Saccharomyces cerevisiae S288C: one gene and its partners. The gene in region 2 interacts genetically with the main gene of each other region. Each region holds a gene or a part of one and is shown on either strand. Other genes may lie near its edges. The genes, in order: MRS3, ACO1, SOD1 and OXP1.

The links.
Region 1: of ACO1 (region 2) and MRS3, changing one suppresses a phenotype caused by changing the other (phenotypic suppression), as found in Saccharomyces cerevisiae (one study listed by BioGRID).
Region 3: of ACO1 (region 2) and SOD1, changing one suppresses a phenotype caused by changing the other (phenotypic suppression), as found in Saccharomyces cerevisiae (one study listed by BioGRID).
Region 4: of ACO1 (region 2) and OXP1, extra expression of one rescues a mutant of the other (dosage rescue), as found in Saccharomyces cerevisiae (one study listed by BioGRID).

Annotation. Positions count from the first base shown.
Region 1 is NC_001142.9:157,520-162,600, forward strand, and holds MRS3 (Fe(2+) transporter), read left to right. Parts: upstream 1-3,099; coding exon 3,100-4,044; downstream 4,045-5,081. Other genes in the region: sphinganine kinase LCB3, read left to right, coding at 669-1,898; DPI8 (Dpi8p), read right to left, coding at 2,104-2,328; YJL132W (uncharacterized protein), read left to right, coding at 4,395-5,081. UniProt on the Saccharomyces cerevisiae protein: MRS3 suppresses a mitochondrial splice defect in the first intron of the COB gene. It may act as a carrier, exerting its suppressor activity via modulation of solute concentrations in the mitochondrion (possibly of cations).
Region 2 is NC_001144.5:733,843-740,495, reverse strand, and holds ACO1 (aconitate hydratase ACO1), read left to right. Parts: upstream 1-2,947; coding exon 2,948-5,284; downstream 5,285-6,653. Other genes in the region: 1-phosphatidylinositol 4-kinase STT4, read left to right, coding at 1-2,335; bifunctional cysteine synthase/O-acetylhomoserine aminocarboxypropyltransferase MET17, read right to left, coding at 6,620-6,653. UniProt on the Saccharomyces cerevisiae protein: Catalyzes the isomerization of citrate to isocitrate via cis-aconitate, a step in the citric acid cycle.
Region 3 is NC_001142.9:620,847-625,354, reverse strand, and holds SOD1 (superoxide dismutase SOD1), read left to right. Parts: upstream 1-2,340; coding exon 2,341-2,805; downstream 2,806-4,508. Other genes in the region: ECM27 (Ecm27p), read right to left, coding at 1-517; ADO1 (adenosine kinase), read right to left, coding at 752-1,774; CTP synthase URA8, read right to left, coding at 2,865-4,508. UniProt on the Saccharomyces cerevisiae protein: Destroys radicals which are normally produced within the cells and which are toxic to biological systems.
Region 4 is NC_001143.9:25,737-33,826, reverse strand, and holds OXP1 (5-oxoprolinase), read left to right. Parts: upstream 1-3,139; coding exon 3,140-7,000; downstream 7,001-8,090. Other genes in the region: DOA1 (Doa1p), read left to right, coding at 1-1,867; YRA2 (Yra2p), read left to right, coding at 2,134-2,745; URA1 (dihydroorotate dehydrogenase), read right to left, coding at 7,668-8,090. UniProt on the Saccharomyces cerevisiae protein: Catalyzes the cleavage of 5-oxo-L-proline to form L-glutamate coupled to the hydrolysis of ATP to ADP and inorganic phosphate.

The DNA of each region.
Region 1 (5,081 bases), on a different chromosome or scaffold from region 2:
CCCACCAGCTCCCGGCGAGAGACGCGGCGAAACATAAAGCATTTATTTCATTCCTTAAAAGTTATGGAGATGTATGGATGTATAAAGTGTACGGGTGTAAACACATTGTCGTCAAAAGGTAATCTCCCCAGAAGTTTTCACTCCTATATAGAAACACGGATACAACCTCGATAGTGCTTTCTTTGTCCCATTTTATTATGCTACTTGTTGCATTATTTTTGGTTTTTCAAGCCTACGTTTTGGACTCTCAGTCCCTGATGCGGATAAGTATTTTACATAATTTACGTTACTATGGCAACAGTACATATGTAGAAAAGTGAAAGAGAAAAAAAAAGAAGAGAGAACTTAAGTAGATGTATGTTCAACCAGCTATTGTTGGAACCAAATATGTGCAAAATATCGCCAGATATTCATTTCACGAATAACAAGGCAAAAATGTTGCAAAAAATGTTTCTTAGTACCAAATTGAACTACTGCCTTTATCATGTGACTGAACTACGCTTGGCTGTTTTGTTTTTCCCTCACCTTGCGCTAAAGTTGTCGTCACATTATAAGGGCAGTAAGAAAAAGCAGAGTTTAAGAAAGTTTGTTTACATACAACCATCACGTAGAGGAAATTCTTCAAACCTACCAGACCAGCGGACACAAGCCATTTGTATAGATAAAAAATGGTAGATGGACTGAATACCTCGAACATTAGGAAAAGAGCCAGGACTCTCTCTAACCCCAATGACTTTCAAGAGCCTAATTACTTGCTGGATCCCGGTAATCATCCCTCAGATCATTTTCGAACTCGAATGTCCAAATTTCGGTTTAATATTAGAGAGAAGCTGTTAGTGTTTACCAACAATCAATCATTCACATTAAGCCGCTGGCAAAAGAAGTACCGTTCTGCGTTTAATGATCTCTACTTTACTTATACTTCCTTAATGGGATCGCATACCTTCTATGTTCTGTGTTTACCTATGCCCGTGTGGTTTGGATATTTTGAAACAACAAAAGATATGGTTTATATCTTGGGATATTCTATCTACTTGAGTGGTTTTTTTAAAGATTACTGGTGCTTGCCCAGGCCTAGAGCACCTCCATTACATCGAATTACGTTAAGTGAATATACAACGAAGGAATATGGTGCTCCAAGCTCCCATACAGCAAATGCAACAGGAGTGAGTCTCTTGTTTCTCTACAACATCTGGAGGATGCAAGAATCTTCTGTCATGGTCCAACTATTGTTGTCATGTGTGGTTTTATTTTATTATATGACTTTGGTTTTCGGTAGAATATACTGTGGGATGCATGGCATATTAGATTTAGTAAGCGGTGGGCTCATTGGAATAGTGTGTTTCATTGTTAGGATGTATTTCAAGTACAGGTTTCCGGGTTTACGCATTGAGGAGCATTGGTGGTTTCCTTTGTTTAGTGTGGGATGGGGTCTTCTTCTTTTGTTTAAACATGTTAAGCCCGTAGACGAATGTCCTTGCTTCCAAGATAGTGTTGCGTTCATGGGCGTTGTGTCAGGTATTGAATGCTGTGATTGGTTGGGCAAAGTGTTTGGAGTCACCCTGGTGTACAATTTGGAACCTAACTGTGGCTGGCGGTTAACCTTAGCCAGGCTGCTGGTGGGCCTACCGTGCGTTGTTATCTGGAAGTACGTGATCAGCAAACCGATGATCTACACGTTATTGATCAAAGTTTTCCATCTGAAGGATGACAGAAACGTTGCGGCAAGAAAAAGACTGGAGGCCACGCACAAAGAAGGTGCAAGCAAGTACGAATGTCCATTATATATTGGAGAGCCCAAGATTGACATTCTAGGTAGATTTATTATCTATGCTGGCGTTCCATTCACCGTTGTAATGTGCAGCCCCGTCCTATTTTCCCTCTTAAATATAGCATAAAACAAAAGGAACAAAAAAAAAAAAATAGACAAAATGTAGTGTAAATGTATCCGTTTCTAAATTAAGTACTTATAAAAAAATATGTAACTGAAAAAGTCATGTTGTATAAAAATTTGAGGCACCGTACCAGGACCCCAAAAGAAGAATAGGTTAAAGTCATCATCATTAATAAACCAGGAAAGAAAAGAGCATAATTAAGATACGCCTACAACTTTGGCGCGTGAGCCAAGTGTCTTCTGGTAGCTAGTGAGGCACTCAAGGGACCATATGTCTTGGCATTTTCTCTATATTCCTTAAAAGAGTTGAACGAGTTGCCCGGAGATCTCTTGAAAATAGTGCTGGCCATGGCGCTAGCGGCTATCCTTGAGACACCCGCGGAGGCGGCTGAAGAAGAGACGGCGGCGGCTAATCTGGTACTTTGGGCGATCATTTAATACGTTTATTTACTGTCTTATGAATGTAATATTTAAACTTGTGCGTAATCATTAAAACAAAGGTGAAAAATCACATTAAACATCTCCCTACATTACTTTCGGTTTATTCTTTTATATGTGTGAAACTTTCTCTCTGCACCAGGAAGTGGTCATGCTTGATGCTCGGCTCCCACCGGAAAAACTAACTTGCGGGCGGGAAATTGATCCCTGAAGTCATGCCCCTCACCTTCATTCGTGGATCTTATCTCCAGAGCAACCAAATGTGGAAATGGCATGACACCCCCCCACACACGTTCCGCCCACTTTTTTTCAAATGTGTGACACACCCATACCCCATAATGTTGCACGTGACAGGTTTGTATCACGTGCTTCTTAGGGTTTTGTTTTAGGTCTGAGACATTTTAGGGTTTTTTTTCATCAAGTCTAGATCGTTTGTAACGAACGATTGCTCCTTTTTTCTTTTTTTTTTGCTTTTTTTTTATACTCACCGTTTACTGTCATTATGTCTCTCGAGAAACTGGGCGTGTGTGCTAACCAAGACTGGATCACCTTTACATAGCACTTATTGCATTTCTTGGTGTTTCGTACCCTACAATTGACAAAAGTAATTTTGTCGTTCATTTCTTCATCGATTCTTTCCTCTTTCAACAACTTCCTTATTTTATCTTGGGATCGTAACTTCACTTAATTAATCACGATTCCCATATTCGTTAACACCTCTTAAGGTTTGCTGTAAATATATTTATGTTATAAAAAAAGAAGATATTATGGTAGAAAACTCGTCGAGTAATAATTCAACAAGGCCAATTCCAGCAATACCTATGGATCTACCCGATTATGAGGCGCTCCCCACCCACGCGCCATTGTACCATCAACTTATAGCGGGTGCATTTGCTGGTATAATGGAACATTCAGTGATGTTCCCGATAGATGCCCTTAAGACGCGAATACAATCAGCCAACGCGAAATCGCTGTCTGCCAAGAATATGCTTTCGCAAATATCTCACATCTCTACTTCCGAAGGAACTCTAGCCCTATGGAAGGGTGTTCAGTCTGTCATACTAGGTGCGGGACCTGCGCATGCAGTGTATTTTGGTACGTATGAGTTCTGCAAAAAAAATCTTATCGATTCGAGTGATACGCAAACGCACCATCCTTTTAAGACAGCTATCAGTGGTGCCTGTGCCACCACGGCATCTGACGCATTAATGAACCCATTCGACACAATAAAACAGAGAATCCAACTCAATACCTCGGCATCAGTATGGCAAACCACAAAGCAGATTTACCAATCTGAAGGTTTGGCAGCATTTTATTATTCTTACCCAACCACCCTAGTAATGAACATCCCATTTGCAGCATTTAATTTCGTCATATATGAATCATCCACAAAATTTTTAAACCCATCAAATGAGTACAACCCCCTCATACATTGTCTGTGTGGCAGTATCAGCGGATCGACATGTGCGGCGATCACAACACCTTTAGACTGCATAAAGACAGTACTGCAGATAAGGGGCAGTCAAACAGTTTCGTTGGAAATTATGAGAAAGGCGGATACTTTTAGTAAAGCAGCCAGTGCCATATATCAAGTTTATGGCTGGAAAGGGTTTTGGAGAGGTTGGAAACCAAGGATAGTGGCAAACATGCCGGCTACTGCTATATCATGGACAGCTTATGAATGTGCAAAACATTTCCTAATGACGTATTAGTTGGTTCTTACATGTCATATTATTTTCCATTCATTTTGCATCTCAGAAGATTATGTGTATATTATCATTTTCCTGTTGTGACTTTATGTACATTTATATATACAAATTTAATTTGATAATCCCAAAGCTTGAGCTCTTTCCCTCAACGAAAAGTTTTCATTTTTTCTTCATTACTTTATATATCTATGTTTAGTATACCCAAAGGGTATTTCGGACGCAGGCAAGCTGCCATTATTTATAGCGGAAACTCTAAGAGTGGTAAATCTATTTCTAAAAAAAAAAAAGATTCATTCAAGCGCCCTCCTTGGTTAGTTAGTTAGAAACATGTATTCAGAGGGAATTAAATAAAGATGAGTATAATTAGTTCTTGGTTACTTGTCTCTATTATTTGCTTAACTACTTCTATTGTAACAAAATTGCAAGCTGCTGGAGTTACTACCCATCTATTTTATTTAACAAGAGGTGCTCCCTTAAGTTTAAAGGAAAACTATTATCCTTGGTTGAAAGCTGGTTCTTTCTTTCCGGATGCTTTGTACTCATGTGCACCTTCAAATAAGGATTGGTCTGATTTTGCAGAATTCACTCATTGGCCCAATTTCTTAATGATTGCAGTATCTTATTGGCAGCAAAAGTATGGTCAGAACGATCGACTTCGGGGAACTCACGGCTCACTCGCACTAAAGTCATTTTTAATAGGGGTATTCACTCATCAGATAGTTGATGTTTCCTGGCATTCGTTAGTTACCGATTATAGAATGCACGGACTACTCCGAGTTCTCAGCGAAACAGAATTTGATGGAGATATTGAAACTGCTCATACGTTTTTAGACGTTATGGGTGAATTCCTCACCTTAAATAATGTAATCCGTGACAGTAATAATAACGAAAATTGGGATTTTTTAACTCGCTCTGATTGGAAATTGCCCAGAGAAGAGGATTTAATGGAAATTATAAGGAACGCTGGACTTTCAAAGGAAAAGTTGTCCTACGCAGAACTGGAATTTTGCGTTAAAAGAGGAATGGCAGCGGCTATTAGT
Region 2 (6,653 bases):
AATCATAACTGAGAAGCCCGAAGTTGCACATTTGCTTTTAGTTGAAGTATGCTATTGCTGGATGCGCTCCATTGATGACAATATTGGTCTCTATTCTCGCGATCATGACTTAAAGGGCGAAGAATACCAAAAAATGGAATATTCCCCTTACGACAAAGCAGGTATCAACAGAGATGCAAAAAATGCATCCCAAGCTATGCAACCACATCTTCATGTTATTAAATTTTTTGCTTCCCATTTCGAGGGCACACTATTTCAAAGTGACTTTTTATTGAAAATTTTCACGAAATGTGCGCTTTATGGTATCAAGAATCTGTATAAGGCTTCACTACACCCGTTCGCTAGAATGATTCGCCACGAATTATTGTTATTCGCGACTCTCGTACTAAACGCAAGTTATAAGCAGGGATCCAAGTATATGGGCCGTTTGTCGCAAGAAATCACAAACGGTGCCCTAAGTTGGTTTAAAAGACCAGTAGCGTGGCCATTCGGCTCAAATGAGCTGAAAATCAAAGCAGATTTATCTGTTACTAGGGACCTTTTCCTTCAGCTCAACAAATTAAGCTCGCTAATGTCACGTCATTGCGGGAAAGATTACAAGATCCTGAACTATTTCTTGGCAAGCGAAATCCAGCAGATTCAAACCTGGCTTACTCCGACTGAGAAGATTGAAGGAGCCGACAGCAACGAGCTTACAAGCGATATCGTTGAAGCTACCTTTGCTAAAGATCCAACATTAGCAATAAATCTCTTACAACGATGTTATAGCAAGAAAGCTGAGGATGTTTTAGTGGGCTTAGTTGCAAAACATGCTTTAATGTGTGTGGGGTCCCCAAGTGCTCTTGACCTGTTCATAAAAGGAAGCCACCTGAGCAGTAAGAAAGACCTACACGCAACCTTATACTGGGCGCCAGTGAGCCCGTTAAAATCTATCAACCTTTTCCTTCCCGAATGGCAAGGTAATTCTTTTATCTTACAATTCAGCATATATTCGTTGGAATCACAAGATGTGAACTTGGCATTCTTCTATGTTCCTCAAATCGTACAATGTTTGAGATACGATAAAACCGGATATGTCGAAAGATTGATTTTGGATACTGCGAAAATTAGTGTGTTATTTTCTCATCAAATAATCTGGAATATGCTTGCAAACTGCTACAAGGATGATGAAGGTATACAAGAAGATGAAATCAAACCAACTCTAGATCGTATTAGGGAGCGTATGGTTTCAAGTTTCAGCCAATCTCATCGCGATTTTTACGAACGTGAATTTGAATTCTTCGACGAAGTAACTGGCATATCTGGTAAGTTGAAACCATACATAAAAAAAAGTAAGGCTGAAAAGAAACATAAGATCGATGAAGAAATGAGCAAAATTGAGGTGAAACCTGATGTTTATTTACCTTCTAATCCTGACGGTGTAGTTATTGATATTGATCGGAAGAGTGGTAAGCCACTTCAATCTCACGCAAAGGCGCCTTTTATGGCGACCTTTAAAATAAAGAAAGACGTAAAAGATCCTTTGACAGGTAAAAACAAGGAAGTTGAAAAATGGCAAGCTGCTATCTTCAAAGTCGGTGATGACTGTAGGCAAGATGTTCTAGCGTTACAATTGATCTCGCTATTTAGAACCATTTGGTCTAGTATTGGCTTGGATGTCTACGTTTTTCCCTACAGAGTTACTGCGACGGCACCGGGTTGTGGTGTCATCGATGTGCTACCCAATTCGGTATCCCGTGATATGTTAGGACGTGAAGCTGTTAATGGATTATATGAATATTTCACTAGTAAATTTGGTAATGAATCTACTATCGAATTTCAAAACGCACGAAACAACTTTGTTAAATCCTTAGCGGGATATAGCGTAATTTCGTATTTGTTGCAATTCAAGGATAGACATAATGGTAACATTATGTACGATGATCAAGGACATTGTCTACATATCGATTTTGGGTTTATTTTTGATATTGTCCCAGGTGGTATCAAGTTTGAAGCAGTACCATTCAAGCTGACGAAAGAAATGGTTAAAGTGATGGGAGGTTCGCCCCAGACCCCAGCGTATCTGGACTTTGAAGAACTTTGTATCAAGGCATATCTAGCCGCCCGTCCGCACGTGGAGGCCATAATTGAGTGTGTAAATCCTATGTTAGGAAGCGGTCTCCCCTGCTTTAAGGGTCACAAGACAATTAGGAATCTAAGAGCAAGATTTCAACCTCAAAAAACCGATCACGAAGCTGCACTATATATGAAGGCGCTAATCCGTAAAAGTTATGAAAGTATATTCACTAAAGGTTATGATGAATTCCAAAGGCTCACAAATGGCATTCCGTACTGATATACTTCGCACTTTACATATGCTTATATAAAAATACCAGTTTCCCATCGTCAATTACGCAGACGTAGCCTTCGTTTATTTTCTCTCTTTTTGTATATCATTGTATTAATCATAATCCATTGTATTTTACTTTGTCTTATCTGGCTTTAATGAATGACGCCGGTCACACGCGGGTGCCTGATTCTCGATTGTGCCAAGCCATTTGGGCACGGTGTCAAATTACCTAAAAAATGGCCGAGAGCCGCAAAAGGGAGGTCCGCGGGGCCGGGCAATACCCTTTGTTTTTCGAGCATTTCGGCGCCGAAATCGGCAAAGGTCCTGACCAATCAATAGAGAAATTAGTGCATACGAGAAAAATTTGAACCCTTCAGTTGTTCTCCGCAGGCGACTTTAACCATCAAACCTCCAATCGCTGCCGGTTTTCGGAAAGGCAAGCACAAAAAGGGAGGACAAGGAAAATCTTTTGTTATATATATAATCTTCCGGTTTTAGAGGTTAATTAGGAGGAGTATGTTGCTTAATTCCGTTGTCCCTTGTTCTGTTCACTCTTTCTTAGTTATTACATAGTAGAACGAAGGTAATAAATACTACCATTATTACTATAGATATACAATGCTGTCTGCACGTTCTGCCATCAAGAGACCCATTGTTCGTGGTCTTGCGACAGTCTCCAACTTGACTAGAGATTCAAAAGTCAACCAAAACTTATTAGAAGATCATTCTTTTATTAACTACAAGCAGAATGTGGAAACGCTGGATATCGTAAGAAAAAGATTAAACAGGCCATTTACCTACGCGGAAAAGATTTTGTACGGTCACTTGGATGACCCTCATGGTCAAGATATTCAGAGAGGTGTTTCATACCTAAAATTAAGACCAGATCGTGTTGCCTGTCAAGATGCTACTGCTCAAATGGCTATTTTACAATTTATGTCCGCTGGTTTACCACAGGTTGCTAAGCCAGTCACTGTCCACTGTGACCATTTGATTCAAGCACAAGTTGGTGGTGAAAAAGATTTGAAGAGAGCTATAGATCTAAACAAGGAAGTTTATGATTTCTTGGCCTCTGCCACTGCGAAATATAACATGGGTTTCTGGAAGCCAGGTTCCGGTATCATTCACCAAATTGTTCTGGAAAACTACGCTTTCCCAGGTGCTTTGATCATTGGTACTGACTCCCATACACCAAATGCTGGTGGTTTAGGTCAATTGGCTATTGGTGTTGGTGGTGCTGATGCCGTTGATGTTATGGCAGGTCGTCCATGGGAATTGAAGGCTCCAAAGATCTTAGGTGTTAAGTTGACTGGTAAGATGAACGGTTGGACTTCTCCAAAGGATATTATTTTGAAATTGGCTGGTATCACAACTGTCAAAGGTGGTACTGGTAAAATTGTTGAATATTTCGGTGATGGTGTTGACACCTTCTCCGCTACTGGTATGGGTACCATTTGTAATATGGGTGCTGAAATCGGTGCTACCACATCTGTTTTCCCATTCAACAAATCTATGATTGAATATTTGGAAGCAACTGGTCGTGGTAAGATCGCTGACTTTGCTAAATTATACCACAAGGACCTATTATCTGCTGATAAGGATGCTGAATACGATGAGGTCGTCGAAATTGACTTGAACACTCTGGAACCATACATCAATGGGCCATTTACCCCCGATTTGGCTACTCCAGTTTCTAAGATGAAGGAAGTTGCTGTTGCTAATAACTGGCCATTGGATGTCAGAGTCGGTTTGATCGGTTCTTGTACCAATTCCTCTTATGAAGATATGTCTCGTTCAGCATCCATTGTCAAGGATGCTGCTGCTCATGGTTTGAAATCCAAGACCATTTTCACTGTTACTCCAGGTTCTGAACAAATCAGAGCCACTATTGAACGTGATGGCCAATTAGAAACCTTCAAAGAATTTGGTGGTATCGTTTTGGCAAACGCCTGTGGCCCATGTATTGGTCAATGGGATCGTAGAGATATCAAGAAAGGTGACAAGAATACTATCGTTTCCTCTTACAACAGAAATTTCACTTCTAGAAATGATGGTAACCCACAAACTCATGCTTTTGTTGCATCTCCAGAATTAGTAACTGCGTTCGCCATTGCGGGTGATTTGAGATTCAACCCTCTAACAGACAAATTAAAGGACAAGGATGGTAATGAGTTCATGTTGAAACCACCACATGGTGATGGTTTGCCTCAAAGAGGTTATGATGCTGGTGAGAACACTTACCAAGCTCCACCTGCAGACCGTAGCACCGTTGAAGTTAAAGTTTCTCCAACTTCAGACCGTCTACAACTGTTGAAACCATTCAAACCTTGGGATGGTAAGGATGCTAAAGACATGCCAATCTTGATTAAGGCCGTCGGTAAGACAACTACTGATCATATTTCTATGGCTGGTCCATGGTTGAAATACAGAGGTCATTTAGAAAACATTTCTAATAACTATATGATTGGTGCTATTAATGCTGAAAACAAGAAGGCTAACTGTGTTAAAAATGTATATACTGGTGAATACAAAGGTGTTCCAGACACTGCTAGAGATTACAGAGACCAAGGTATCAAGTGGGTTGTTATTGGTGATGAAAACTTTGGTGAAGGTTCCTCTCGTGAACACGCTGCTTTGGAACCAAGATTCTTGGGCGGTTTCGCTATCATCACAAAGTCTTTCGCTCGTATCCATGAAACTAACTTGAAAAAACAAGGTCTATTGCCATTGAACTTCAAGAACCCAGCTGACTATGACAAGATCAACCCTGATGACAGAATCGATATTCTGGGTCTAGCTGAATTGGCTCCAGGTAAGCCTGTAACAATGAGAGTTCATCCAAAGAATGGTAAGCCATGGGATGCTGTGTTGACCCATACTTTCAACGATGAGCAAATTGAATGGTTCAAATATGGTTCTGCCTTAAATAAAATTAAGGCCGATGAGAAGAAATAATGAAAACATTGTTATAATCTTTTAAAGGTTATTATTTATTTTGTCTTCTGTACACCGTACCCTTGTTTATCTTTTCTGCCTTAAATTTAATGACGTTCGGCTGGAGAAGTCAAGACTATGAAATATATCTCGTAATTTATGATCGTATATTATTTATTTATTGATTGTTTTATTGTTTATTTATTTATTTAAGTACCCCTATTGTACGTACATAAAAAAGCAAAACTTTTATATTATATTGTTGCTGATTATGTACTCAGTTTAACGAGGATTAAAAAAAAAAAAAAATTAAGTAATAAGTGCACCGTCTGTCAGACGGTCGAATTTAAAAATAAATGGTCTCTAGCGGGATCGAACCGCTGATCCCCGCGTTATTAGCACGGTGCCTTAACCAACTGGGCCAAGAGACCAAACTTTGTTGAATGTTGAGCAAGTTAACATCTTATAGGACATATTAAACTATGACGACATTGTTGCAAATAAAACACTATTGATTGCTTAAAAGGGCAATCCGACTATATCTGAGACGAACAAAGACACTGTTGGAATAAAAATCCACTATTGTCTATCAACTAATACTTATACTATCAATATATTATAATAGACGGCGTTAGATGATGACATAAGTTATGAGAAGATGTCATCGAGGTTAGAGGAAGCTGAAGTGCAAGGATTGATAATGTAGTAAGAATGTGAATATATCACATAGAATCACCAATTCCATTTTATGGATTCCTATACCACGAGGAGAACTAGTATGTCCTGGCTATCTAATATTATGGCCTCTAGCAGCAACGAAATGCCAACAATTAAATCCAAGTTCACCTATTCTGACTTTTATATTTAATAACTAACATTTTTATCAACGATGGAATTCCAACAGCTTTACTAATCTTTACTTGTAATTTGGCTTTTTAGATCTATAATATTTATTGTATGGAAAGTAGCATCCAACCAAATCCCGCGAAGTTTTCCTGATTTACATAACAAGCAAATACTAAAAACGTTAACACACATGTGCTTCTTTATTGTAAAGAAACCTCCATCATCCTCTTTTGTAACTTGGTCCTACAATAAATTTATCCAGTGTGACAGCTTTATAGGAGGCGTAAAGTAGTCTCATGAAGTAGATGAGTCTTGTTCACCATATTTTTCTTCTCGACTGCGAATTAACACTGTTCTTTGATGTTAGAACAATTTAGGTTCAAAGTACGAGTCACGACATGTAACAAGGGAAAAAAAGGATATTCATTTCAATAAAGTTCGTTTTATAAAAGTATAGTACTTGTGAGAGAAAGTAGGTTTATACATAATTTTACAACTCATTACGCACACTCATGGTTTTTGGCCAGCGAAAACAGTTTCAAAA
Region 3 (4,508 bases), on a different chromosome or scaffold from region 2:
TAAGGGAAACGTAACTCATTACGCACATGGCAGCTAAAGAAAATAACAAGTCTCTCATGATGGATAGTTTTTGAATTTGCGAGATTTCAATGTGAGTTCTTGACATAATAATAAAAATGGAGCCCTCTACAATGCACAGGATAATGCCGCAAGCGCCAAGCACCTCACCAATTGATAGCGATACTGAGGTTGACCTTGTTTCTCTCGTAGAGGTTGCCCAGCTCATTAAGTTGGAAAATAGGTCAGGCGAAGAGTTACACCAAGATAGTAGAACTGCCATTAATGCCCCAGTATGAGATGCATGGGACGCCGTTTTTGAGACTAAAGAACCATTCGATCGAAGGCTGTTGGGATCTGATATATGGGCCACGTTGGGGCAAAGAAAATCGGATGCACATATTCCTAATAACACGAAAGCAATAATGATATGAAATAAGCTCGGCACAATAAACGTTACTGAAAGTTTAGGATCCTTGTAAAGTAATCGTGGATGGGCGACATTGATTGCCCAGTCCATATTATTGTGTTATTGTTGCTTGTGTACGGCCGTATGTGGAGAGGATGAACGAGTATTTTGTTCTTAGCGCTGCTTGTCCTTTTTTCTTGAAGCTGTACTTTATAGCGCCTCTTTTCCTTATTGTGGTAACGGTGGCTTATTTGGTTTAAGAACAAGCGGTAAACATGTCTACGAATGAAAAGCTAGAGGGAACACGTAGAGTATATTTTATTTCTATTATATTGTAAGAAGAATCTATTTAGAGTAAGATATTTTTTCGGAAGGGTAAGAGGGACCAACTTCTTGAATAGACAAAGCAGCTAGCCATTGACCCATGTCAATAGAGGTTTCCAAATCTTCACCTTTAGTCAACCCAGCCATAAAGCCACCAGCGAAGGCGTCACCAGCACCGTTGGTGTCGACGATCTTAGAAGAGTCCAAAGGTTTGACTGGATATGTGCTGGTACCCTTGGAGGACACGACCACTGTTGGTTCGACACCGTGGGTGAAGATGACAGTCTTTTCAACTGGAGAGTCCTTGACAATTCTTTGAGCAATAGCTTCCAAATCAGTGTTGGCACAGTCTAATTGGAAGGCGTCGCAAAAGGCTTCGGCCTCCGATTCGTTAGCGATGATGACGGTAGCATAAGGCAAAACTCTGGCCAATGCGTCTTTGAAGACATGAGGAATGAAAGGAGCACTAAAGTTCAACACGAAAGGTTTGCTGTTCTCTTTAGCATGTTGGCCCAACTTAACGATAGCGTCTGGAGACACGGTCAAGTGGAAACCACCGATGTAGAAGAGCTTAGCTGCTTCGACCAAGTCCCAATGCTTGTCCAAGTGGTCTGGAGTAAAGAAATTGGCAGCACCCAAGTCAGTGACCAAGGACCGGTTATGGCCAGTGATTAATGCGGCACACTTACCGGTACCAATATCATTTTGAACTTGGTACATAGACTTGACACCAGCTTTTTCGTTTTCGTTAAGCAATCTCTCGCTGAACTTGTCCTTACCGACGGAACCGAAGTACACCACCTGGCCGGCGCCCAAAACGTATGCTGCCCCTCTAGCAGTGTTTTGAGCAGCACCACCTGCAACAAGCTTTGTTTCTGGCATCTGTAAGAGCTCGTCAAAAATAGCCATCTTAGCATCGCCTGATTTGGCATCGACCAAAATTGCGTCGTTTTCCTTTAGAGAATACTTGGCCAGGTATTCAGCCGTGACGTCGGCTTGGAAATCTAAAAGTGGGTTACCCAATACTACCAATGGTGCGGTCATAATTGCTTGCTCTTTCTTTTGCTGTTATCTTTGGTTCTACCCTGCACAAGATAAACTGAGATGACTACCTAATTAGACATGGCATGCCTATAAGTAAAGAGAATTGGGCTCGAAGAATAATTTTCAAGCCTGCCCTCATCACGTACGACGACACTGCGACTCATCCATGTGAAAATTATCGGCATCTGCAAAAAAAGTTTCAACTTCCACAGGTAATATTGGCATGATGCGAAATTGGACGTAAGTATCTCTGAAGTGCAGCCGATTGGGCGTGCGACTCACCCACTCAGGACATGATCTCAGTAGCGGGTTCGATAAGGCGATGACAGCGCAAATGCCGCTTACTGGAAGTACAGAACCCGCTCCCTTAGGGGCACCCACCCCAGCACGCCGGGGGGTTAAACCGGTGTGTCGGAATTAGTAAGCGGACATCCCTTCCGCTGGGCTCGCCATCGCAGATATATATATAAGAAGATGGTTTTGGGCAAATGTTTAGCTGTAACTATGTTGCGGAAAAACAGGCAAGAAAGCAATCGCGCAAACAAATAAAACATAATTAATTTATAATGGTTCAAGCAGTCGCAGTGTTAAAGGGTGATGCCGGTGTCTCTGGTGTTGTCAAGTTCGAACAGGCTTCCGAATCCGAGCCAACCACTGTCTCTTACGAGATCGCTGGTAACAGTCCTAACGCAGAACGTGGGTTCCACATTCATGAGTTTGGAGATGCCACCAATGGTTGTGTCTCTGCTGGTCCTCACTTCAATCCTTTCAAGAAGACACATGGTGCTCCAACTGACGAAGTCAGACATGTCGGTGACATGGGTAACGTAAAGACGGACGAAAATGGTGTGGCCAAGGGCTCCTTCAAGGACTCTTTGATCAAGCTTATCGGTCCTACCTCCGTTGTAGGCAGAAGCGTCGTTATCCACGCCGGCCAAGATGACTTAGGTAAGGGTGACACTGAAGAATCTTTGAAGACTGGTAATGCCGGTCCAAGACCAGCCTGTGGTGTCATTGGTCTAACCAACTAATGTTAATGATAATATACTTGAATAAAAACCGTATGTAAGTAAGTAGTAAGCGCATCAATTCATTCATTTTCATTTCCCTCGCTTAGATTTATGTCCTTGATCACTTCACCAAGTGTGCCGGAGGCTGCGGCCACAAGCCCCCAAAACGGTCTTGATGGTTCCAGCACCTTCGATGTATACTCTGGATGGTATTGAGTGCCCACGTAGTATGGATGGCCTTTCAATTCGAATATTTCGCAACGCTGGCCCGTCTCGTCCTTACCAACAAAAATAAAGCCACGAGACTCCATATCATTCACTATTTTCGGGTTTATCTCATAGCGATGACGATGTCTCTCATGCACCTCATTAACTTCACCATAAAGCTTCCTTATGTTGCTCCATTCTGAGTTCGGTTGGAAAATGGTAGGCCTCAAACCCAATCTCATCGTGCCACCCATGTGTTCCTTGTCGATCTCGGGCATGTATATGACTACTTGGTCTTCAGGAGCTAGTAGTGTCTCGTCCAAAAATTCTGTAGAACTGCTGTTTGGGCGGCCTATCACATTGCGGGCGAACTCGATAGCGGCAACTTGTAATCCAAGACAGACACCAAGAAAGGGAACACCGGATTCACGGGCCCATTTGGCAGCAAGAATCATACCTTCAATACCTCTCGTGCCAAATCCACCAGGAACCAAAATTCCGTCGGCGGAACTGAGCTTATTCCATGAATCGTGGAACTTGTTCTTGTCCACCTCTTGAGTTTCGGGCTCTAGGTTACTTGCCTCTACCCAGAGGATTTCTAGCTGACGACGGCACTTCATGCTTGCGTGTTCTAAGGATTTGGTCACAGATAGGTAGGAATCCTTCAAATTAGTGTATTTTCCCACAAGAGCAATCTTGACAACATCATCAGAATCATCTAGGTTTTTGGTCATGTTTTCCCAGTTAGTCAATAATTGAGACCCTCTTTCCTTGTCTTCCAAGGTTAGAGGCACTTCACCTAATTTCAACCTTGAATGGAGGTAGTCGATCATATGTTGCTTTAGCAGCAATAAGGGAACGTGGTACGTGGAGTTAACATCATGAACGTTGACCACTTGCTCCGGCCCCACATGGCAAAACATGGCAATCTTGTCAATAGTGCTCCTGTTAAGTTCTTCGCTGCATCTGCAGGCAATCATATCGGGAATAAGCCCTAATGACCTTAAATCTTTGATTGCTGCTTGGGTGGGTTTCGTCTTCTGTTCACCATGAATGACGGGCACAAGTGAAACATGGATCAGGGCGAAATTCTCTCTTCCAACTTCGAACTGAAATTGTCGTAATGCTTCCACGAAGGGCGCACTCTCAATGTCACCGACCGTACCACCTAACTCGATGATACAGACGTCTGGTTCTAATCCTGTGTCATCCACTGGAATTTTTGAAACACGTTGAATCCAATCCTGAATTGCGTTAGTCAAATGAGGAACAATTTGAACTGTCTTACCTAAATAATCACCTCTCCTTTCTCTGGAAATTACGTGGGAGTATATCTTACCGGTGGTGATGTTGTGGTCCCTGCTTAAGGTAATACCGAGGTACCGCTCGTAATTACCGAGATCCAAGTCCGTTTCCCCACCATCATCAAGTACAAAACACTCACCATGTTCCAAGGGAGACATCGTCCCGGCGTCAATATTCATATATGGGTCAATCTTGATGGAAGTAACCTTTAG
Region 4 (8,090 bases), on a different chromosome or scaffold from region 2:
CTTGATTGGCCACCAAGGGAACGTTTGTAGTTTATCCTTCCAAGATGGTGTTGTGATAAGCGGTAGTTGGGACAAAACCGCAAAGGTTTGGAAAGAAGGATCGTTGGTTTACAATTTGCAAGCACACAATGCCTCTGTATGGGATGCCAAAGTCGTATCCTTCTCAGAAAATAAATTCTTGACAGCTTCCGCCGATAAGACGATTAAACTGTGGCAAAACGATAAAGTGATCAAAACTTTCAGTGGGATTCACAATGATGTAGTAAGACATTTAGCTGTGGTGGATGATGGCCATTTTATCAGTTGTTCAAACGATGGCCTCATCAAGTTGGTTGATATGCATACAGGTGACGTACTAAGAACATATGAAGGCCATGAAAGCTTTGTTTATTGCATTAAACTGCTGCCCAATGGAGATATTGTAAGCTGCGGCGAAGACCGAACAGTCCGTATATGGTCAAAGGAAAATGGTTCGTTAAAGCAGGTAATTACACTTCCTGCCATCTCTATTTGGTCCGTTGATTGTATGTCTAATGGTGATATTATTGTGGGAAGTAGTGATAATCTTGTGAGAATATTTTCGCAAGAGAAGTCAAGATGGGCTTCCGAGGATGAAATAAATGAACTATCTACGCAAGTGGAAAAATCCACTATAAGTTCCAAGACAATAGAATTTGATGAGTCTAAACTATCACCTTATGAAATTTTACAATCGCCGGGGCGCAAAGAGGGTCAAATTGTGGTAGTCAAATCACCTCAAGGTACTATAGAAGCTCATCAATTTTCAAATTCTTCATGGAAAAAGGTTGGTGATGTTGTCGGTGCAGGTGCTACTGGAAACGACAAAAAAATAGAATTCGAGGGTAAAACGTATGACTACGTATTTGATGTGGATATTGAAGATGGAAAACCTCCCTTGAAATTGCCGATTAATGTCAGCGACAACCCATATACAGCAGCCGACAATTTTTTGGCTCGTTATGAACTGCCAATGAGTTATAGGGATCAAGTAGTACAGTTCATACTGAAGAACACTAATGGCATATCGCTAGACCAGCCCAACGATAATGCATCATCTTCTGCAGTATCACCTTCAAAAACGAGCGTAATGAAGGTTCTTCCTGTCAAGCAGTATCTTATCATGGAAAATTATAACCCAGATACTATTTTCAATGGAATAGTAAAAATAAATTCAAATGAGAAGACCTTTGATGATGAAATTCTGGCGCAAATTGGTGGCGCACTACATGACATAGATGAAAGCTGGGAGTTGCTACTTTCATTTGCTAACACTATAAGATCTAACTGGGAAATTAAGACTCCTGCATACGACATAGTACGATTGATTGTAAAAAAATTACCTTATTCTTCAGATATAAAAGATTACATCGAAGAAGGCTTGGGCAATAAGAATATCACTCTAACCATGTTAACTGTGCGTATTTTGGTAAATTGCTTCAATAATGAAAACTGGGGTGTGAAATTACTGGAATCAAATCAAGTTTATAAATCAATTTTTGAGACTATAGATACTGAATTTTCTCAGGCATCTGCTAAACAGTCACAGAATTTGGCTATTGCAGTTTCCACACTAATTTTCAACTATTCAGCTCTCGTCACGAAAGGGAACTCTGATTTAGAACTTTTGCCTATCGTAGCTGACGCCATCAACACCAAGTATGGGCCATTGGAAGAGTATCAAGAATGCGAAGAAGCCGCATATAGGCTAACCGTAGCTTACGGAAATTTGGCTACTGTTGAACCTACATTAAGACAATTTGCCAACTCCGTAACTTGGCTTGCAAACATCAAAAGGAGCTATGGGAACGTGCCAAGGTTTAAGGATATTTTCGACGATCTCTCCTAATACTTTTACAGCAATCATATAAAACACATAATGTCTAGATAGCAAATAATCTTTAAAATTCTTTCTGCCCTATTGAAAATTATGACAAACTATCACGGTCATTTTCTGTCTAACTCGGCAAGAAATTATCATCGTGAAATGAAAAAGGTTACATACAATAAGGTTATTTTGAGTACAGACTGATAAATAGATGGAAAAGACTAAAAAACTGAAACGATAAGCGTCTAGTACCTTTTCCATTAGACGATTCAATACTGCATTTTGCAATGGACAAAGCATTTGACGAAATTATTGGAAATAGTCACACAGACAGCTCATCTAATCATAAGGTAACGAGATACCGCAGAAGGGATTTAAGAAATGAATTAGGACCTAGACTGGGATTTGCGCCTTCGGATGCTGCATCAAGGTCGAAAGATCGCCTTTATAGAGAGAGGGAAGAGCCTCCTTTGCCTAAGAGAATTAGAATATCCAAAATCCCACTAGACGTTTCTGACTACACCCTCGATGATATGATTAAAGAGTTTGGCTCGCCAATATTTTCGAAAATTTTTGACAATAAAGAGGATCGTACATGTATTTACGAATTTGAAGACCCAGAAGTTTTGGAAAAGATTGTCGAGCGTTATAATGGACATGAGTTACATAATGCAAAAATTGAAGTGGAGATTTACCAACCACAGAGAAAGCATTCTAGAATGAATGCCCACAACCGTCGCAAACAGACGGCTCAAGAACACGGAAGAGGCAGGCCAGGGAGCCATTATCGCCAAAAGCCTAACAGAGTCTCCAAAAAGAACAAGGGCCGTGAGAAGAATAACACTCCTACTTCTGTCGAAGCTCTTGACGCTGAATTAGATGCTTACATGAAAGGTTAAGCAATTGTGTATCTACTTATAATTTCTTTATAGTCTTTTCAATGTTTTTTTACTCCATCAGTCTACAGATATGAAACCTCAGTACTACTTTTTACCTAAATAATTAATTTTTATTTCTAGAGGGTAGCAATGATAAACACTTTACCAATCTCTGGAATTAAGAACAAGCGTACTCCGCTCTATTCAGTATTATTTGCATGAATACTTCAACAATTGTTTTGTTTGCCTCAGGTGCTTTTCCGATTGAGCACGATCGCCATAACATTACCACTGAAAAGAAAGATAAGATCAAATGTTACGTGGTGTTGAAGAAAGAATGCCAAAAACTAAGAACTGAACTTAAACAGTAATAATTTTGAGCATTGAAAACCTAAATATAACTTCTTGGTATACAATGCAGAAAGGAAACATAAGAATTGCCATCGATAAGGGTGGAACTTTCACTGATTGTGTGGGGAATATTGGTACAGGTAAACAAGAACATGATACTGTCATCAAGCTCTTGTCGGTGGATCCCAAAAACTATCCAGATGCTCCCCTTGAAGGCATAAGACGTCTCTTGGAGGTGCTTGAACACAAGACAATTCCTCGCGGTATTCCTCTAGACATCTCTAATGTGAGAAGTTTAAGAATGGGGACAACCCTAGCTACAAACTGCGCTCTAGAAAGAAATGGTGAACGTTGTGCCTTCATTACTACGAAAGGCTTTAAGGATTCATTGCTGATTGGAGACCAAACCAGGCCAGATATCTTCAACTTAAATATAAAAAAGGTAGTGCCATTATATGACACTGTAGTTGAAATAGATGAGAGAGTTACTTTAGAAGATTTCTCGGAAGACCCTTATTTTACCAAATCGTCTCCTAATGAACAAGAAGGTATCCTGGAAGGTAATAGTGGCGAAATGGTAAGGGTCATAAAGAAGCCAGATGAATCAAGCGTAAGATCTATTCTGAAAGTGCTTTATGCTAGCGGAATCAAGTCTATTGCGATAGCATTTTTACACTCATACACTTTTCCAGACCATGAGCGAATTGTTGGTAATATTGCCAGGGAGATTGGGTTTTCTCATGTTTCATTATCATCTGAAGTCTCTCCAATGATAAAATTTTTACCGAGGGCTCACAGTTCTGTCGCAGATGCCTACCTTACTCCGGTAATTAAAAAGTACTTGAATAGCATTTCTGCAGGTTTGAGCCACGCAGAAGATACCCACATTCAATTCATGCAGTCTGATGGTGGTTTAGTGGATGGGGGAAAATTTTCCGGTTTGAAATCTATTTTATCTGGTCCTGCAGGTGGCGTAATAGGTTATTCTAGTACATGCTATGATAAAAATAATAACATACCCTTAATAGGCTTTGACATGGGAGGAACATCTACTGATGTCAGTAGGTACGGCGATGGGAGGTTAGAACATGTTTTTGAAACTGTTACCGCAGGGATCATCATACAATCTCCTCAACTTGACATCCATACTGTTGCTGCTGGAGGAAGTTCTATTTTGTCATGGAAAAACGGGTTATTCAGAGTAGGCCCTGATTCAGCAGCTGCTGATCCAGGCCCTGCAGCCTACAGAAAGGGCGGGCCTTTGACCATTACAGACGCCAACCTCTTTTTAGGACGTTTGGTTCCTGAGTTCTTCCCCAAAATTTTTGGGCCCAATGAGGATGAATCACTTGACTTAGAAACCACTACTTTGAAATTCAGAGAATTAACAGATGTCATCAATAAGGATCTGAATTCAAATCTAACCATGGAAGAGGTTGCCTATGGATTTATCAAAGTAGCTAACGAATGCATGGCAAGACCTGTGAGGGCCATTACAGAAGCAAAAGGACATGTAGTATCTCAGCATCGGTTAGTTTCCTTTGGCGGGGCTGGCGGGCAACACGCCATAGCGGTTGCAGATTCATTGGGCATTGACACTGTTTTAATTCATAGATATTCTTCTATCTTGTCCGCTTATGGCATTTTCTTAGCAGATGTTATTGAAGAAAACCAAGAGCCTTGCTCTTTTATCTTGGGTGAGCCAGAGACCATCTTGAAAGTGAAAAAAAGATTCTTAGAACTTTCTAAAAATTCAATCAAAAACCTTTTATCTCAGTCGTTTTCTCGGGAGGACATAGTCTTGGAAAGATATTTAAATCTCAGATATGAAGGTACTGAAACCAGTTTGATGATATTACAAAAATATGATGACCAATGGAATTTTAGGGAATGGTTCTCTGAAGCTCATAAAAAAGAGTTCGGATTCTCATTCGATGACAAACGAATTATAATTGATGATATAAGGATAAGAGCAATTGGGAAATCAGGCGTTAGAAAAGAAAAAACGGTTGATGAGCAATTGATTGAAATTTCCCATTTCAAGAAAGCCGACGTGTCAAAGGATGCTAGTTTTACCCAGAAAGCATATTTTGACAACAAATGGGTCGACACTGCGGTCTTCAAAATTGATGATCTTCCTGCCGGAACAATTATCGAGGGCCCAGCCATATTGGCTGACGGTACCCAAACAAATATTATTTTACCAAACAGCCAAGCAACAATTTTAAACTCTCATATATTTATCAAGATCAACCAAAAGGCTGCGAAGACATTATCTAAAAGCGGATATGAACTTGATATAGATCCAATCTTATTGTCTATTTTCAGTCATAGGTTTATGGATATCGCCCTCCAGATGGGTACTCAATTGAGGAAAACTTCTGTTTCAACTAACGTCAAAGAGAGATTAGATTTTTCATGTGCACTATTCGACTCTAAAGGAAACTTAGTCGCTAACGCTCCTCATGTACCTGTTCACTTAGGATCAATGTCAACCTGCATATCAGCACAGGCGAAGTTATGGGAAGGCAAATTAAAGCCTGGTGATGTTTTAATCACAAACCATCCGGATATTGGTGGTACTCATTTACCAGACATAACAGTAATAACTCCTTCTTTCTCTTCAACTGGCGAATTGATATTTTATGTGGCTTCAAGAGCCCATCATGCAGATATTGGAGGTATTCTACCCGGTTCAGTGCCTCCAAATTCCAAAGAATTGTACGAAGAAGGAACCGCAATTTATTCCGAATTGGTTGTCAAAGAGGGAATTTTCCAGGAAGAATTAATTTACAAGCTTTTCGTAGAAGATCCAGGCAAATACCCAGGCTGCTCAGGTTCAAGAAGATTTAGTGATAACATAAGCGATTTAAAAGCGCAAGTCGCAGCTAACACAAAAGGGATACAGTTAATTGGGTCATTAACTAAGGAATATGATCTGGCTACAATATTGAAATACATGGCTGCAATTCAGACAAATGCATCTGAATCCATAAAAAAAATGCTTGCAAAAATGGTTGAACATTTTGGCACAACGAAGTTTTCTGGCGAAGATCGCTTAGATGATGGAAGCTTAATTAAACTACAAGTTATCATAAGACCTGAAAAAGAGGAGTATATTTTTAATTTCGATGGCACTTCTCCCCAAGTTTATGGTAATTTAAATGCACCAGAGGCTATTACTAATTCTGCGATTCTTTATTGTCTACGGTGTCTAGTAGGCGAAGATATTCCTTTAAATCAAGGTTGTTTAAAACCCTTAACAATAAAAATTCCTGCTGGTTCCCTCTTGAGCCCCCGATCCGGTGCTGCTGTTGTCGGAGGCAATGTATTAACTTCCCAAAGAGTGACAGATGTAATCTTAAAAACATTTAACGTCATGGCAGATTCTCAAGGTGACTGTAACAACTTTACATTTGGAACTGGAGGAAATTCTGGTAACAAAACCGATAAGCAGATCAAAGGCTTTGGATATTATGAAACCATATGTGGCGGCTCGGGGGCTGGTGCAGATTCATGGAGAGGAAGTGGTTGGAATGGCTCAGACGCTGTACACACGAATATGACCAATACAAGAATGACAGATACTGAGGTATTTGAAAGGAGATACCCCGTTCTGTTGAAAGAGTTCTCGATCAGAAGAGGTTCAGGAGGCAAAGGTAAATATACTGGCGGAAATGGCGTAGTAAGGGATGTTCAATTTCGGAAGGCTGTAACAGCATCTATATTATCAGAACGTCGTGTCATTGGCCCTCATGGTATAAAGGGAGGACAAGACGGTAGTAGAGGTGAGAATTTATGGGTAAGACATAGCACAGGCGCATTAATCAATGTCGGCGGTAAAAATACGATTTACGCTCAACCCGGTGATCGATTCATCATTAAAACCCCTGGTGGTGGGGGATTTGGACAATACAAGGATTAAAGCATTTCTTTTTGGTTCTTAGTCAATATCGAATTACACGGAACCATTGGTATACCGTGGATGCGCCAGCCACAAATTGACTTTTACAGAAAGTACAGTTTAATTATATAAGAACAGGCACTTAACAATGTTTCGGAACTCTGTAGATAAAACCAAATTACTCTTTCGAAAAGGCTACATTCTACATCAAAATCACCTGTGCAATATATATATATATATATATATATATATATATGCACATATTCGTTAATTTCTTCACTTTTTTCCCCAAATATTAAACAGATGGCTTCATTTCTTCAACATTATTTTCTGGTTCCTATGCCATTTTTAGCCTACTAATAATTATCGTTGAAAAATGTTTCTTGAATAAGTCTTAATGTAAGGATATATCATATGTTGAGATATAAAAATTTAAGTATAAATGAATCAAGACAATAATTTACATTGATTAAGTTATTTCAAAGTATAAGTATTTAGTATCATCATCTATTAAAGCACATTGAACCCTAATGTATGATGCCAATTGCGAATGCACTCACCGAAAAATTAAGGAATTAGCATTTACCAACTATCCTTGATTTATGCAATTTCAAAATAATAAAATATTCATACGAATCTTAACACTCTTCCATAACTTGTCCCATCATAGTTCTTCAAATTCCGATAATTAAATGCTGTTCAACTTCCCACGGAACTGATCTATGGATGTATAACCCTTAGCTTCCATTATGTCTTTTAATTCTTTTTCGATACGTTCAAAAATCTTGACGCCCTCTTTTTGTAATTCTGTACCAATCTGTAGCATAGAGGCACCACATAGAAGATGTTCAAATGCATCCTTACCGGACTTAATTCCACCTGTACCGATAACTTTGATTTCAGGTCTCAAACGAGTGTAAAATGCACGAACATTGGCGAGCGCGGTTGGCTTAACATATTCACCTCCAATACCCCCGAAACCATTCTTTGGCTTCACTACTACACTCTCCTTCTCCACATCAATGAAAAGACCATTTCCTATACTATTGATAGAGTTGACATAAGCTAATGGGAACTCGTTCAATATTTTTGCCATGATATCAAAATGGGC